2 linked regions of the Mytilus edulis genome follow. The protein of the gene in region 2 binds, or shares a complex with, the protein of the main gene of each other region. Links are inferred from orthologs where the notes say so. Each region holds a gene or a part of one and is shown on either strand. Other genes may lie near its edges.

Evidence for each region.
Region 1: the proteins of mRNA export factor GLE1-like (region 2) and nucleoporin NUP42-like are in contact, whole or in part, in a crystal structure (PDB 6B4I), measured with the Homo sapiens proteins. The link is inferred for Mytilus edulis from reciprocal best matches to the Homo sapiens genes GLE1 and NUP42. Residues at the interface, in NP_001003722.1 of Homo sapiens: Ile385, Ile593, Leu598, Asn599, Trp602, Arg603, Ala606, Gln607, Leu609, Asn610, Gln636, Tyr637, Gln638, Val639, Gln640, Lys643, Met644, Ile646, Leu647, Glu650, Asp651, Tyr652; in NP_001357375.1 of Homo sapiens: Asp185, Asn186, Val187, Leu188, Phe189, Gln202, Phe203, Gln204, Ser205, Lys206, Lys207, Phe208, Leu210, Gly211, Lys212, Ile213, Pro214, Leu215, Lys216, Pro217, Pro218, Leu222, Leu223, Asn224, Val225.

What each region holds. Positions count from the first base shown.
Region 1 is NC_092355.1:51,273,393-51,281,279, forward strand, and holds the start of nucleoporin NUP42-like, read right to left. Parts: upstream 3,156-7,887; 5' UTR 3,064-3,155; coding exon 2,979-3,063; intron 394-2,978; coding exon 216-393; intron 1-215.
Region 2 is NC_092349.1:81,811,393-81,818,982, reverse strand, and holds the start of mRNA export factor GLE1-like, read left to right. Parts: upstream 1-4,381; 5' UTR 4,382-4,442; coding exon of another isoform or gene 4,443-4,446; intron 4,447-7,590. UniProt on the Homo sapiens protein: Required for the export of mRNAs containing poly(A) tails from the nucleus into the cytoplasm. May be involved in the terminal step of the mRNA transport through the nuclear pore complex (NPC).

The sequences.
Region 1 (7,887 bases), on a different chromosome or scaffold from region 2:
ATTTAAAAGACTGTCATACATGTAAAACTTAGGACAGGGATTGAATTTAAGACTTGGCAATTGTAGCCCACAGCTTAAATTGTGTAGCCCACATATATAGTCCCTACACAAGAAAAGCAGCAATTTTATTAACCCACACCAAATTTTAGGGGCCATCAGCGATTTCAAACCTTGTACAATGTTGTATAGGACCATAAAGTAATGTACAGTCTTACATAACATCATTAGTAGACATCTGTTGTGTTGCCTGAGGTTGTCCCTGCCTTTGGCTGTAGTCAGAGGCCTGCCATTTGTACTGGTTCGGGTTTTGTTGAGATCTCCCTCCTCCTCCTCCCCCTCCTCTACCACCTCCCCCTCCTCCAAATAACTGTCTCTGTGCAGAGTAAGCATATCCTGAAATATATCTATATTGTAGCCATGGCCGTGGTACATTATATGTACATGTACTACTGTATATATTCAGAAGTAACTGCATAAATTTATTATTGAGTCCTTTATATACCACATTTTCATGGAAACTTCCAACTTAGACAAAGATGTTAATTTGAAAACAAAATTAACATTGTTGACACTTCCTGTGCTTGCATCATCAACTTGGTAACTCACACTATGCACCGTTCTTCACGTGAAAAGTGTAAAATTCTCAAGTGTTTTAAACATGTTAAATAGTTTAAAATATACATGATATAGGTTGGAATATGAAAGAATATTTTTTTATTATTATTTTTTTAACAAAAAGAATAAATAAAAGAAAAGGGGGGGGGGGGGCGGCAGTTTGGCGACAGTATTCAATTTCAAAATAACTTTAATAAGTATCTACGATTTCAAAAAAATTTATATTTTTATAGAATAGATATTGAACGCATTTTGATGTAAGCATTGAGTTAAATACGGGCAAAGGTGGAATCGGAGGAGGGTATCTGTGAAATAAGTTAAAAATGATCAGTAGCGTAGTCCGAGATTACTCTGACGTCCAACGGCTGTTTTACAAGACGAGCTGGGACTGTGGGAGGTCAGAGCTTGTCCCATATTAGAAAGTGGATATTTGCCCACCCAAAATAGATGTGCTGCTTTGTGGCTTCTGGTGTTGACTGACCGCCTTGGAATTATATAAATCGGGCGTCAATCTGTTCATTTTTCATTTATCTCTTCATTTATGTAAGTTTCACCTACCTGCCAACCTTTACTTTCTCATAATTAGACAGTTTTCACAGTGACCGATGGATTTCTGCATATTGCCTTTCATTTTCAAAGATTATCACGTGACCACGAGAAAACAGTGATGATTATCGAAATGACCATAATGTATACATGTACCTCGTCCATTTACGATGCAAGTTATCTAAATTTCTGAGACCTTCCGATTGTTATCGTGGTCGGAACTAAAATGCTTAATGCCGATCTCCTGTAAAGGAGGTGAAAAATCGTGGTTGGCTACTTAATGTTAAACATTGATCTATAAAGGAGGTGAAAAAATATAAATATTTGCATAATTGAGTCTCAACATGCTCAAGGCCATGAACTCTCTCGTAAATTGACGTCCATTTGAAACTGATAGTCAAAATGCAGAAATCGATGGGTCTCTTTGAAATCTGTTAAAATGTGGAAAAAAAGGTTGGCAGGTAGGTGAAACTAACATAAATGAAGAGATAAATTTGAAAAATAAACAGATTGATGCCCGATTTATATAATTCCACGGCCGTCAGTCGGCACCAGAAGTGACGAAGCAGCGCATCTATTTTGGGTGGGCAAATATCCACTTTTTGATATGGGGCGAGCTCTGACATCCCACCGTCCCAGCTTCATTGAGCTTGTCTGGCAAAACTGCCGTTGGACGTCAGAGTAATCTCGGACTATCAGTAGTGGATCCAGAACTTTTCATAAAGGGTTGGAGGAGGGCGGGCTGACTGACCTAAGGGGGAGGGGCCGCTCCAGTCATGCTTCAGTGATTCCGTATATAATCAACCAAAATTTTGTTATGAAAAAGGGGAGGGGCTGGATCTGCATACAATGTATGACAATAATAGGGCATCAGTTTTGGAAAATTTAGGTCTGTCACGTCTCAAAAGCCAGGTAGAACGTCTTGTGTCTGTGATTAGTTTATATCATATTTGGTTGTATATGTCGGACTATCAGATCGTCGGACTATAGAACTGTCGGACTATTAAGGTTCATGTGGACCCTATGGCTAAAATGGCCGTATTTTCACCTCAAAATTTACTCTGAGTACAGACAAACCTGCGCATCTGTAAAAAATTTCAGGCATAGCATGCCCCAGATAAAATAATTTCAAATATGTTTTATGTTTTAGAAAAATAAAAACTTACCAGGATTTTGCCGTGCACTTTTTTTCATTCCTCCAGAAGGTGCCAAAATAAACTAAGTTGGGAAACAGGTTTGAGAACTTCCCCACAGGTAAAAATTGAAGTGAGCGTTATTGATTGACATGGACATTAGATGGACAATAGATACATGACAATAATTGGTTATTTAAACTGTGTACCTGAGTGGACCATATCAAGGTAAACTCAACTGTTTGTTAATTTTATCATCTTCTGCAGGGACGAAAAAAAGTGTACGGCAAAATCCAGTTAAGTTATGAATTTTCTAAATCATACAATGCATTTGAATTTTATTTATCTAGGGCATGCTATGCCTTAAAACGTTTCCAGATGCACAGGTTTGCCTGTACTCATAGTAAATTTTGAGGTGAAAATATGGCCATTTTAGCCATAGGGTCCACATGAACCTTAAACTGTCGGACTATTGATCCATCAGACTAATATTGAACTGTCGGACTGTCTAGCAGACCCCATCCCTATCCATTGGAATGTCTACTATCAAAGTATTGATGCATGAATATGTATTGACACAAGTGCCTGTGTTAACTATTCTGTTTTATACTTCAATTACTGGCAAAAAAATATATTCATCTGTTCATGAAGATTATCTGAAAAATAAAAATACACAAAATGTACCTGCATTTCCCCCAACTGGGTGCTCAAATCTACAGCTGCTTCCATATTTACAATGGCCCTGAACAAAAAATTTGCAAATAGCCATGAGTGTCAATAAAAAATCGCTACGGTAAATATATAAAAAGCTATTTTCGCTTTTTGAATTTGTCCATTTTCCATCGGAAGTAGTAAATGGATTATAAATACACGCACGGACCGGTAACCCGGAGAATTCAGGTCTCACTAATTAGGGACAAGAAGAATATTAGCGACAAGAAGAAAATATAAGGGACAAGGAGAAAATACTAGCGACTGAAAGTTTATTTACTATGATATTCAAACAATAGATGTACAGAAAATAAATCATCTGATTAAAATAATTTTACGGATCCATTAAAAAAAGAGCAAAATGGTAATTACAAATTACATTTCTTCGGTTTTTTTTTCGAAAATATTTTTACTGAAATGGCGGTTTAAACATCAACAGTTATTCAAAAACTTTAAATCATCCTGTAAACAATGGAAAGCAGTTTGCAAAGATAGTAGTTTTTCGTAAAGATGGGAAAATTAGTCTTACTGAGACATGGATTTATAATAGTAAACCATTAGATATTGTAAATCACTTGTTATCTGGGTGTGTTATTTCATTATAGTTGTAAATTCTATATTACTCAAAACCACTGTGCTGAACAAGACAGGAAAGCTACGTTTAGTAAAGGAAAAGGGCACCATCCTTACACTTGAACACTGTCACTTCTATAAGTTTATTTGACACTTATGTATGTAGTATTTTAATGTATGGTTGTGAAGTTTGGGGTGTTCATAGAGCACCAAATGTAATGACTTCTAATGTGAAGGTATAGTATGCATTAGGAAGATGTCTATTGTTATATGAGCGAAATTTTAGGATGCTCAAATTATGGACTAAAATTAACGGTAGTGAAAATTGTATTATAAAGTCATGTTACAAAGAACTAGTAGCAAATAGAAATAAATGCAAAAACCGGGCAACTTGTTTTAAAATAATTTTATATGATCTTGGTATGAATAATTATTGGGACAACCAATGGGTACTTTGTTCATGTTGTTTGGATAGTTCATTTTTACAATTAACCAAACAACGGATCAACAAGAGTGGCATTTTACGCTTGAAACATCACCAAAGTTTAGAATATATAAGTATATCGTGTCAAATGTAGAATTATAATTTTATTTACAAAAATGTATTCCTGTAATAGCTCGTAAATTGATAACGAAAATTCGCCTGTCCTTACACAATTTATGTATTGAAACTGGTCGTTTTATAGAATAAGTAAAAACAGTAGAATGTGTATTATATGTGATATGTAAATGTAGAAGAGGATGAATTTCATTTTATTTTGCAATGTACAAATTATAGTGATATACGTAAGAAGTTTATCAAGAAATATCATTGGACTAGATCGTCAACTTATAAATTAGTACATTTACTTTCTTTTGAAAACACTAAGGAACTTTGTAGGAGTTTATAGGAAATGACAATGAGAGGCCTTCAACACGGAACCAAAAGTCTTACCTCACTGCAAATTTAAGACGACCTCCTAGCACCGCGGTTTGCGCGGTATTCTTTGCAAAAATAATTTGGATAGACTTTGTGAGACTAAACACTACCCAAATGGGCTCGGTAAAAAAAAAGAACATACGTGGAAAGAAGTACATATATAAAACAAAATAGTTCCTACTCGCACATAGTTGTAAATCTTAAACAATGTAGCATATATATGTGAAATTAAGATATCGAATGAAAGGTGAAGGACTGGTGATTCTTGTAGAACACATAATTTACTGTTATTGTTAATAATACGAAAACTATGAATGTATTCTAAAGATGCGGGCATACATACAGAAAAGAAGATGTGGTATCTATGATTGCAAATGAGACAACTCTCTACAAGAGACCTAATGACACAGAAATTAACAATTATAGGTCACCGTACGGCATGCAACAATGAGCAAAGCCCATACCACATAGTTAGCTAAAAAAGGCACCGAAATGACAATGTAAAACAAGTCAAACGAGAACACTAACTGTTTAATTTATGTACAAAAATGAACGAACAACAAACATGTAACACATCAACAAACGACAATCACTGAATTATAGGCTCGATCCTGACTTGGGACAGGCACATACATACACTAAGAATATGGCGGGGTTAAACATATCCGCCTGTTTCCCAGATATGACGTGCCTGGTTTGGTGTATCTTAAGTCCGGTTACCATTGCAGTACGGACTGATGTATAACTTTATGGAGATTGATCCCGCTTCCATTAAATGTTTTATAGTGAAATATGAAAGAGGATCAAGTGGGTGGTGGTTTGAGTCTTATTCACATTTTAGTGTTCAACCTGTCCTTACATTGAGGAAAATGAATTGGCATACATGTATAAGACAAGTTATCTAAAGAATAAATACACCATAACTCTGAAATTACAGAAGAGCACACATACATATCAAGCACGTGGCAACTTTCTACGGTCCTCACACAGAACGAGAAACACACTATCAATATAATAGAAAAACATATTTTGGACAGATTTTATGAGATTTAACACCCCCTTATCGGGCCCGGTAGAAAACCCCCATACTAGGTGGAAAGAAGTACATATTGAAAACAAAATAGTTTCTATGCATAATTGTGAATCTTAAACAAAGTAGCATCTATTATAGAAATTAGAAGGTATCAAATGAAAGGTGAAAAAACAACAAAACATAATAAAAACAACACAAAAAGTAAAGCAATGGAATAGCGCTTTTGTTGCTGTTCTTCATCTCTAAATCACAATGAGTCCTTCAACACGGAGCTACAAAAACTCTTCGACGTCTGTATTAGTTTTTGAACTTTTAAACATATTCGGCTTTTATATCATATATAGAGATACATCAATTGGTAAAATGCACTTCTGTATGCTGTGGTAGAATTACTACTGCAAATGTTATAAATTCCTTTCAGACCTTTTAATTCCTTTTTTTTAATTAACGACGTTTGATATCTGTGAATATATCCAAACAAAAAAAGAGGAAAAGATATCAAAGAAAAATTCGAACTCATAAGTCGAAACAAACTGATATCGCCATGCCTAGAAAACGAAGAATAAAAAACAAAAACACAAAATAGAAAAACATATTAGATGTTTTAAAGTATGTATTGAAAGATCGTTCAACGATTACTTATTGTGTTGCATAACATTTTGTTATATAACCTATTTGGACGGAAAACGTGACTTCTGTTTGGTACCAAATAAACATTGTAATTAGTCAACATGATTGAATTATCTTTCTTGCACTAATATTTTAGAAATTGTAAAATGATTGACTAATAAAACGCGGATTTATTTCCATTTTAAAGAAAGCCACACGTAAATAAAGTTTAACAGCAAAGTAATTTGAACTGATATCTACAACTAGACCGTTCGTTATTAAAAGTTATATACGAAACAATACAACGATTTGCAGTTTTCACCCAAATACTTCCTTTCTCCTCCATAACCATAGTGCTAAACGCAGTATCTAAAATTCAAGGAATCTGCCTTCCTCATTTAGATAAACATTTGCAATATATAGTTTTTTTATAAGTATGACACGACATCAAACAAACCTAGAAAATCGCCATTAAACGTGTGACATGACATCAAACAAACCTAGAACATCGCCATTAAACGTGTGACATGACATCAAACAAACCTAGAAAATCGCCATTAAACGTGTGACATTACATCAAACAAACCTAGAACATCGCCATTAAACGTGTGACATGACATCAAACAAACCTAGAAAATCGCCATTAAACGTGTGACATGACATCAAACAAACCTAGAAAATCGCCATTAAACGTGTGACATGACATCAAACAAACCTAGAAAATCGCCATTAAACGTGTGACATGACATCAAACAAACCTAGAAAATCGCCATTAAACGTATGACACGATATCAAACAAACATAGAAAATCGCCATTAAACGTGGGACATGACATCAAACAAACCTAGAAAATCGCCATTAAACGTGTGACAATATTACATTAAACAAACCTAGAAAATCGCCATTAAACGTATGACACGATATCAAACAAACCTAGAAAATCGCCATTAAACGTATGACACGATATCAAACAAACCTAGAAAATCGCCATTAAACGTGTGACATGACATCAAACAAACCTAGAAAATCGCCATTAAACGTGTGACATTACATCAAACAAACCTAGAAAATCGCCATTAAACGTGGGACATGACATCAAACAAACCTAGAAAATCGCCATTAAACAGATGACACGATATCAAACAAACCTAGAAAATCGCCATTAAACGTGGGACATGACATCAAACAAACCTAGACAATCACCATTAAACGTATGACATGACATCAAACAAACCTAGAAAATCGCCATTAAACGTATGACATGACATCAAACAAACCTAGAAAATCGCCATTAAACGTGTGACATGACATCAAACAAACCTAGAAAATCGCCATTAAACGTGTGACATTACATCAAACAAACATAGAAAATCGCCATTAAACGTGTGACATGACATCAAACAAACCTAGAAAATCGCCATTAAACGTATGACACGATATCAAACGAACCTAGAAAATGCACATTAAACGTGTGAAATGACATCAAACAAACCTAGTAAACATCATTAAACAGATGACAAGATATCAAACAATAGAAAATCCCCGAAAGTTGACCGGGGGATAGACATATGATAATTTAGGCTTTCTGTCGACCGACAGTAAGATTCTTGCAGAAAATTGGGAGTCCGTTTGGCTGTGCGGGATGTAAAGTTCGCAGCCACATCTGCACAAATGAAGACATCAAATATCTAACCACTTCAGAAAAAATGACAAAAAACGAAAATATTGTCAAACTATCGGTATAAATT
Region 2 (7,590 bases):
CGAATGACAGGACCGAATGACAGGACCAAATGAAAAATGCTAATAACTTTTTCGTTTCTCAAAGGATTGATCTCAAAGGACTAGGGGCTATAAGGGCCATTTTTGGCCCCACCCCCAAATTCCATTTAATTTGTCATGTTGTAAGTCTATACCATAGACCTTCTGAAAATAATCGAATTTTGGGTCTAGCTCGTTTATTCTGTTGCCTAGCACTCACTAAAATGGCGGAGTTAAACTCATCAAATATGATTATTATACAGCTTAAATATATCTATATTTGAAATTGAACCTGTTTAGCATGTAGTGAACTTTACACTTGTACACTATTTAAATATTACATAATTAATTGCACATTTTTGCCAATTCACTGTTGTTTCTCCCTAGCAACATAGCTGTGCCCATGGCAACCGCAATTTTTTTTCTATTTACAAGATTTAATTTTAAATATATTGAAACAGAAAGGCAATTTAAAATGTAAATTTTAAGAAGAACACTCCAAGGTAAATATTACGGGGGAAAGCAATATTGAAACACCAACAAACAAAACAAAACACCGGGTATTGCTGATATATACAGATTGTGCATCTGATGCTGGGTGGGGTCCCACTTATCAGCGACAAGAAGAATAATATAAAGACACGACACATTTAGCGCTTAGAAATCTTAATATTGATTATCTTAAATAAATAGATACAGACACATGCATTAAAGGGTGTTTTCAAAAGTCAGTGTATTTCCATGATCATGACAGTAGTTATGTTTCCGGAAGGGGTTGGGGTTGAAGGGGGGCACTTCTATTTACACCTTTTTAAGCTTGAATAAGTGAAAAGTTGAGAAAACTATCAGATATATATGATATAACTTTTTTCCTACGCAATTTATGAAAAGGTATATATTTTTAAAATGTAAAACTGGGTAAGGTGACAAAACAACGGCACCCCCTATCAATTAAGTATTGAAGTGCACCCCTCCAAACCCCACCCCCTTTAGACTTATGTAAAGGATCGTTAAGGTTGACTTTTCCAAATTTATCTTATTTTTATTATCTATTTCAGTCGTCAAGACTTATAACCGTATCATTCTATAGAATTACAAAACTGGAACATGCTACTATATCAAATTAATCTGTATTCTTAGATTTTTTCTATATTCATTATATATATATATATATAAATATATTATTTGTTTTATTGTAGTTTTTGTCAATGTGACTAGTTTACTCAGTTTTGCCTTCACTAATCTTAGCGTCGTATGACTTGGTCTTTGATCATCATGACAATATTCATTATATATTCGTCAAAATCATTGAAAACAAGAATGTGTCTTTAGTACATGGATGCCTAAATCGCAAGCCTAACAATGGCCAGGAAATCCTAAGTTAGGACAGGCCCAAAAAATCAGCAGATTTAAGCATGTTATTTTTGCGATCTCAAACCCCCTCCCCTTTTACCTCTAGGCAAAGTAGAAAAAAAATCAAACACACAATACACACAGTAAAATTTACTTCAAAAAAAGTTTGAGTCTGATGTCAGATTCAACTACCTTGACCAAACACTTAAACCTGAAGCGAGACACAGGGACAATCGGACGAACAGACTGAAATACGCACATACGAACAGACGCATACACCAGAAAACATAATGCCCACAAATGGGGCTTAACAACAAAGCCGGGTCACATTTTAAAATTTACACTGCATTTTTACGCATGATTATAAAACTATTCAAAACATAACCTTTAAAAAGGTAACAGACATGTGGTATGCTTACAGACTTTAGACTCTTGTTTCTATGCATGGAAAGGTCAATTATCCATATATACTGAACGGCATTAGAAACGCAACACTCATTTTGTTAATTTTTCTTACCAAATCTTGTTTGATTTTCTTACAACTACTTTGCATGCTTATCATACTTCTTTCTCCGTGTTAAAAATCAAAATCTAACTTACCTGTGGTTATTGAGCATACCGAGTTTTTGAAGTCGCACGAATTTCTTAAAGCGAAATTTTGGACCCATGAAAGATTGTTTCAGTTGTTTTGCTTTGTGAAACAGTTCTTTCAATCCTTTGCCTCACTTAAACCAGTTTAAAAATGTTGCATCTCTATTTTGCCAAGACTGAGAAACAAAAAACTGAATAGCACCTTAAGAATACTGCAAACATTAAAACATAAACGTGCTGCAACCACACTGAATGGCTACAGAAACTTGTCTTACTGTCCTTCCGACAACGATACAAGTAGACAAGATGTGTTGCTGGCCATCAATGAACAGATAAACGTTTAGAGACAATGAAACGTCAACAGAATTTGATTACGCAACGTCATTTGCCAAACATGTTAACGGCCGCAACGTCAACTGCTAATCAAATTACCGAGTGCCATTGAGTATAGATTCATGCCATAAATGTTTCCCATCAACTGAATTGCCAAAGAATCAACTGAAGGAAAACCTTAAATGCCCTCAAGTTCCAACCGCATAATTGCCAAAACCAATTAATGGGTTGAACAAATGCAAAACCAGAAGGTGTAAAACAGAACCCAAAACATGTCGGACAGAATTTGTTGACCTTTCTAACAATTATTTTGGCGTTTGCAACATGCAGTCATTGCTTTTGACCGTGACACATTCATTCAAAAATAACACAAAAATAATTTAGTGTTGCGTTTCTAAAGTCGGTCAGTATATATATATACATTTGCAAATTTACAGATCTTACATTGTTGGGTTGATGTTTAGACGAGTTGTATATACATGATGTACATAGCCATGTATCAGCATCACTGCTGGTGATCCAATGAATAAATCTGTTGTAGAGTTGTCACAGGCTCAGGCATACTTATATAATAATATATACATGTTTATACAGATATATGGAAAGTCTACCTTATGCCGTTTCAAATTTTATAGAACTTGTTCTCTTCTATGCACATTACCCACAAAGACACATCCAATGTAGGTAGTTTCATTTTCGAAATAAATCTTGTGTTTCTCGCCCCCCCCCCCCCCCCCCCCCCCACTTTTCGTTACATAAATCATGGATCTGACCCTAATACCAGAGAGAGAAGATTTCCCCATTCAAACAACAAATTTTGAATTTATAATTAGCAAAAACATCAGAAATGTACAGATTTTGTTATATTGAAGGTCTATCTAAAATTTCATAATTAAAAAAATTGTCCTCAAAGTTGGTATTGACTCCCTTGCACATGAAGTTTATAGCTGTCAGATTTTTTAAAGAAATCTAACTAGATAAACTAACGGAAAGATAATTAGGAATACACTTTACATTCATAAACAAAAAAAAAAGTTTCTATAGGTATAAGAATGCATAAACTAAACTTTGTCAGATGAAAAGGTCCAAGTTGGACGGCAAATTTCAGCTTTTTATTGCTCCGCTTGGCTATGAAAAATATAAAATAAACTATCGCACCAACCTTGCACCAAAAAGATTTTTTATCCGAAGTTTGATATGTATGAACTTGTCAAAATGTTAAAATTTCTAATTGGTGCAAGCATGGTGCGGTGGTCAAAATTTAGAAAAACCATCAAATTTTCGGTATTTTTGCTTATTTTCCCAATTATGACGTCATTTGCACCTACCATTGTGACATCATTGAACCTTTTTTAGTTAAATAAAAACATTTTTTTTAAATCATTTACTCATATTCTAATAATTTATGGAGAAAAATCTGCTCTGTTAGAATTTTTATAATCTTGTAAATCTGGGGCCATTTTAGGCCATTAAAGCCCCTACTCCTTTGAAATATAATAAGATTTTATCATTTGATAAATAGATTTAAGAAAAAAAATAAAAAGTTTTGTAAGAAACTTTAGAAAACGTGACATGACCAACTCTGATAATGACAGGACCAACATCGAGAATGACAGGACCAAATAAAAATTCTAATAACTTTTTTATTTTTCAAAGGAATTATCTCAGATTTGAAATATAAAATGGTATGTCATATTTTGAAACCTAAATGTTATAAAAAATATAGATTTATTTTCGAAAACTTTCGAAAACGTGACATGACCATCGCTGACTGACAGGACCAACAACGACAATGACCGGACCAGATGAAATTGCTCATTTCTCTTTTATTTCTCAAAATATTTTTCTGAAATTTGAAATATAATAAGATTTCATCATTTGATAAATAGATTTAAGAAAAAAAATTAAAAAAATATGTAAGAAACTTTAGAAAACGTGACATGACCAACTTTGATAATGACAGGACCAACTTCGACAATAACAGGACCAAATAAAAATGCTATGATAGAGATCAATCCTTTGAGAAACGAAAAAGTTATTAGCATTTTTCATTTGGTCCTGTCATTCGGTCCTGTCATTCGGTCCAGTCATTAGTGTAACCCTTCATAAATACTCATCATGATGTTTGATTACTAGCAAATTTAATTCAAATTTAAATATTCGATCAGATGGGGAAGGTCTAAAACGCGGAAGTGGAAAACGCGGAAGTGAAAAATAGGTGTATTATAACTAATATCTCTGGAACCGCTTTAGCTAAATCGACAAATAAAACTGATTCTGAAAGCTATTATAATAGGCTATAAGATAAAATTAAAAACATATTTATTTAAATATGCTTTGTTACCGAAAAGTTGACCGGAAGTCTTTCTTAGTGTGACTCTGGCAACACATTTTTGTACATTAAAACTTAAATTGACGAAAAAGCATATAACCCGGTCAAAGTCTGTAAATTGATTCTTGTAGACATTTAAATGACAAATAATATGATATAAAGAAAAAAATAAATATATTACTATAAAAGGGCAAAAAGTTGACCGGAAGTCACCCTTGTACACAAATGTTGAAGTAAAATTTTCAACTTTGAATTAAAATTCACAAAAATATAAAAAGCCCGGTCAAATTCTGTCAATTGATTCTTAAAGATATTTAAATGACAAATAATATGATATAAAGAAAAAAATAAATATATTACTATAAAAGGGCAAAAAGTTGACCGGAAGTCACCCTTGTACACAAATGTTGAAGTAAAATTTTCAACTTTGAATTAAAATTCACAAAAATATGAAAAGCCCGGTCAAATTCTGTCAATTGATTCTTAAAGACATTTAAATGACAAATAATATGATATAAAGAAAAAAATAAATATATTACTATAAAAGGGCAAAAAGTTGACCGGAAGTCACCCTTGTATACAAATATTGAAGTGAAATTTTCAACTTTGAATTAAAATTCCCAAAAATATAAAAAGCCCGGTCAAAATCGAGAACAAGATTCGAAAAGACAATTTAATAACAAATGATTTGATATAAATAACAATAAAAATATATCAAACTAAAATTGCAAAAACTTGACCTGTTGCCTAGCTTGTGTTTTAATCTTGACCCCCCTTTTATGGAAAAAAAATAATGACTAAAACTAGATATAAAATACTTGCTATTTTTATTTCATTTAATCACATTTCAATAGTATATAATTTCTGATATTTCATGTGTTCCATTTAGACATTAACAACCCTCCTCCTTTTTCACCCGGGTTTGGGACCGGCGTTGGCGGAGTTATTGTTTTTTTTTCTTTCTTATTTTGCTTTATTATTTATTGATGCACTACACTCAGTGGCTTTAATTTATCTATTTATTATCTCTTTTATGTAGGAAAAATAATGTTCAAATTAATTTCAAGAATAGGTATTGTTAACATTTTTAAAATTTATTTAAAATTTATCAAAACTGTAAATTGCTATATAATTTAAGTTAAACTATCTATATGTACTTCGCAGAACCAGCTGTTTCCTTTCATATTTTTTAAGCACAAGACCGATGTGTCCAGACATCACACATTTTACGCCCTGTTTTTCCTTCACAACCTACCATATCCTCTATTGTATCAGGTTTTCCACAGTGACAGTTTGTTGAGATAATGTGGGTTTTAGTTTTTAAATTTTTAGGAGTTTTACCGAAATATTTTTTTGGAAAATGTGTGAATTTACCATTTTCAAGACCATGAATTAAATGTTCTCTCATATATTTTTGCTCGTATGTGATATGAGTACCTCCTTTAAACCCAGTTTGACAAAATTCAAGAGCATTTGCAATTGCAAAAAGTCCACAATCTATGCTGTTTTGTTGTTTTTGGTATTCTTATTATTAATTTTTTCTTGTCTTTACCGTAGATTTGCGTTAACTGATATTCTAATGAAGTTGTTAAATTTAATGATAAGCTGTCTAGAAGATATATGTTTCCATCTCTAGTTTGAAGAGACAAAACCCAATGAGCATTACCATTATGGTGTATTTGTACACTTGGTGACTCTTGTGATTGAAAACCCGGTACGTCTAAACACTGCTAAGGACTCCTTAGTGCACTAAGGACTATACAATGCCACTAAGGACTAGAAGGACTACTGTTATACGTGTTATATTTAGATGTTATGTTAGAGATTGATATTTAATGACTAAATTTCAAATTTTATAGAAAAATAATCATATATAAAAAAGATATTCAACATTTTCTAGACACGTGCCCATTTTTCTTTGATATACCGAAAATCAATGAACCGATTGACACGTGCCAAATAATATAACAACTGATCAAACAATCATATTCTTTAATTTAAGTAATTAACAATTGTATCGAAAAGATTAATACTTGATTATCATTATAAAATGTGTTGTTCTTGTTTAAAATGATTAAAAGGACAAATAATTTTGCTTTTGTTTTATTTATTTCCCGACAAAGTTACATTTTTGTGTTGTATTTGCCATAGGTTTTATCTTTGATGTGCGCCAACTAATAAGTAAGAGTGTGGTCAGCTTGGTAAAATGTTTATGTGAGAGACATGAAGACAAAATGAATAAATATATTTATAACTTTTTTGTTTTTATTTTAATTCCGTCAAAGATGCGTGTATATACAAATGGCTTCACTAAAACTTGAGTAAATTCCAATAAACTATAAATCATGATTTTTATTTTTCCACTGTCTATTACTGCTATATACATCATATACGTAATAGTACGAATAACGATTGAATTGAAAAAAAAAATCATTTATGGACAAATAACAATTGTGAATCAATAAATCATGTGTTCAAAACGGCGATAAACTGGAAACCAAAAAGCATACCAGAACTTGTGAAAATTCTCCACGAACTAGTCAAGCTGGAATTTGCCGACTTAAGACGAGCACTGTACAGCCAAGGCAATTACCTGCTGTTTGGATACTATAAGCGCCACCAATTATTGTATCAATGCTGGCTTACAAAATCAGCTGATCAAAAAGATCGTCTTTTTCATAAACTTATGAAAGACAGTGACAAGTCCAGATTGACTGCAGAAAAAGAAAAAACTGTGACAAGTACTCTGTATGACTTTACCATGCCATTACCCCCAAACCCCCAAATTTTTTTTTCTCATCTATAATATGTGTTTCCCCCGCATCTTCTTCGATTACACTTAGTTCAAGTTTTTTTTAGATTTAGGAGTTGAAAATTCTGTTGATATTTTAGGCGTTTTATTAGGTTTTATGCTACCATTCGTTTTGGAAAAAGAGTTACACAGTGTTTTCCTTTCCTGCCATTTACAATAAACGCACCTTGTT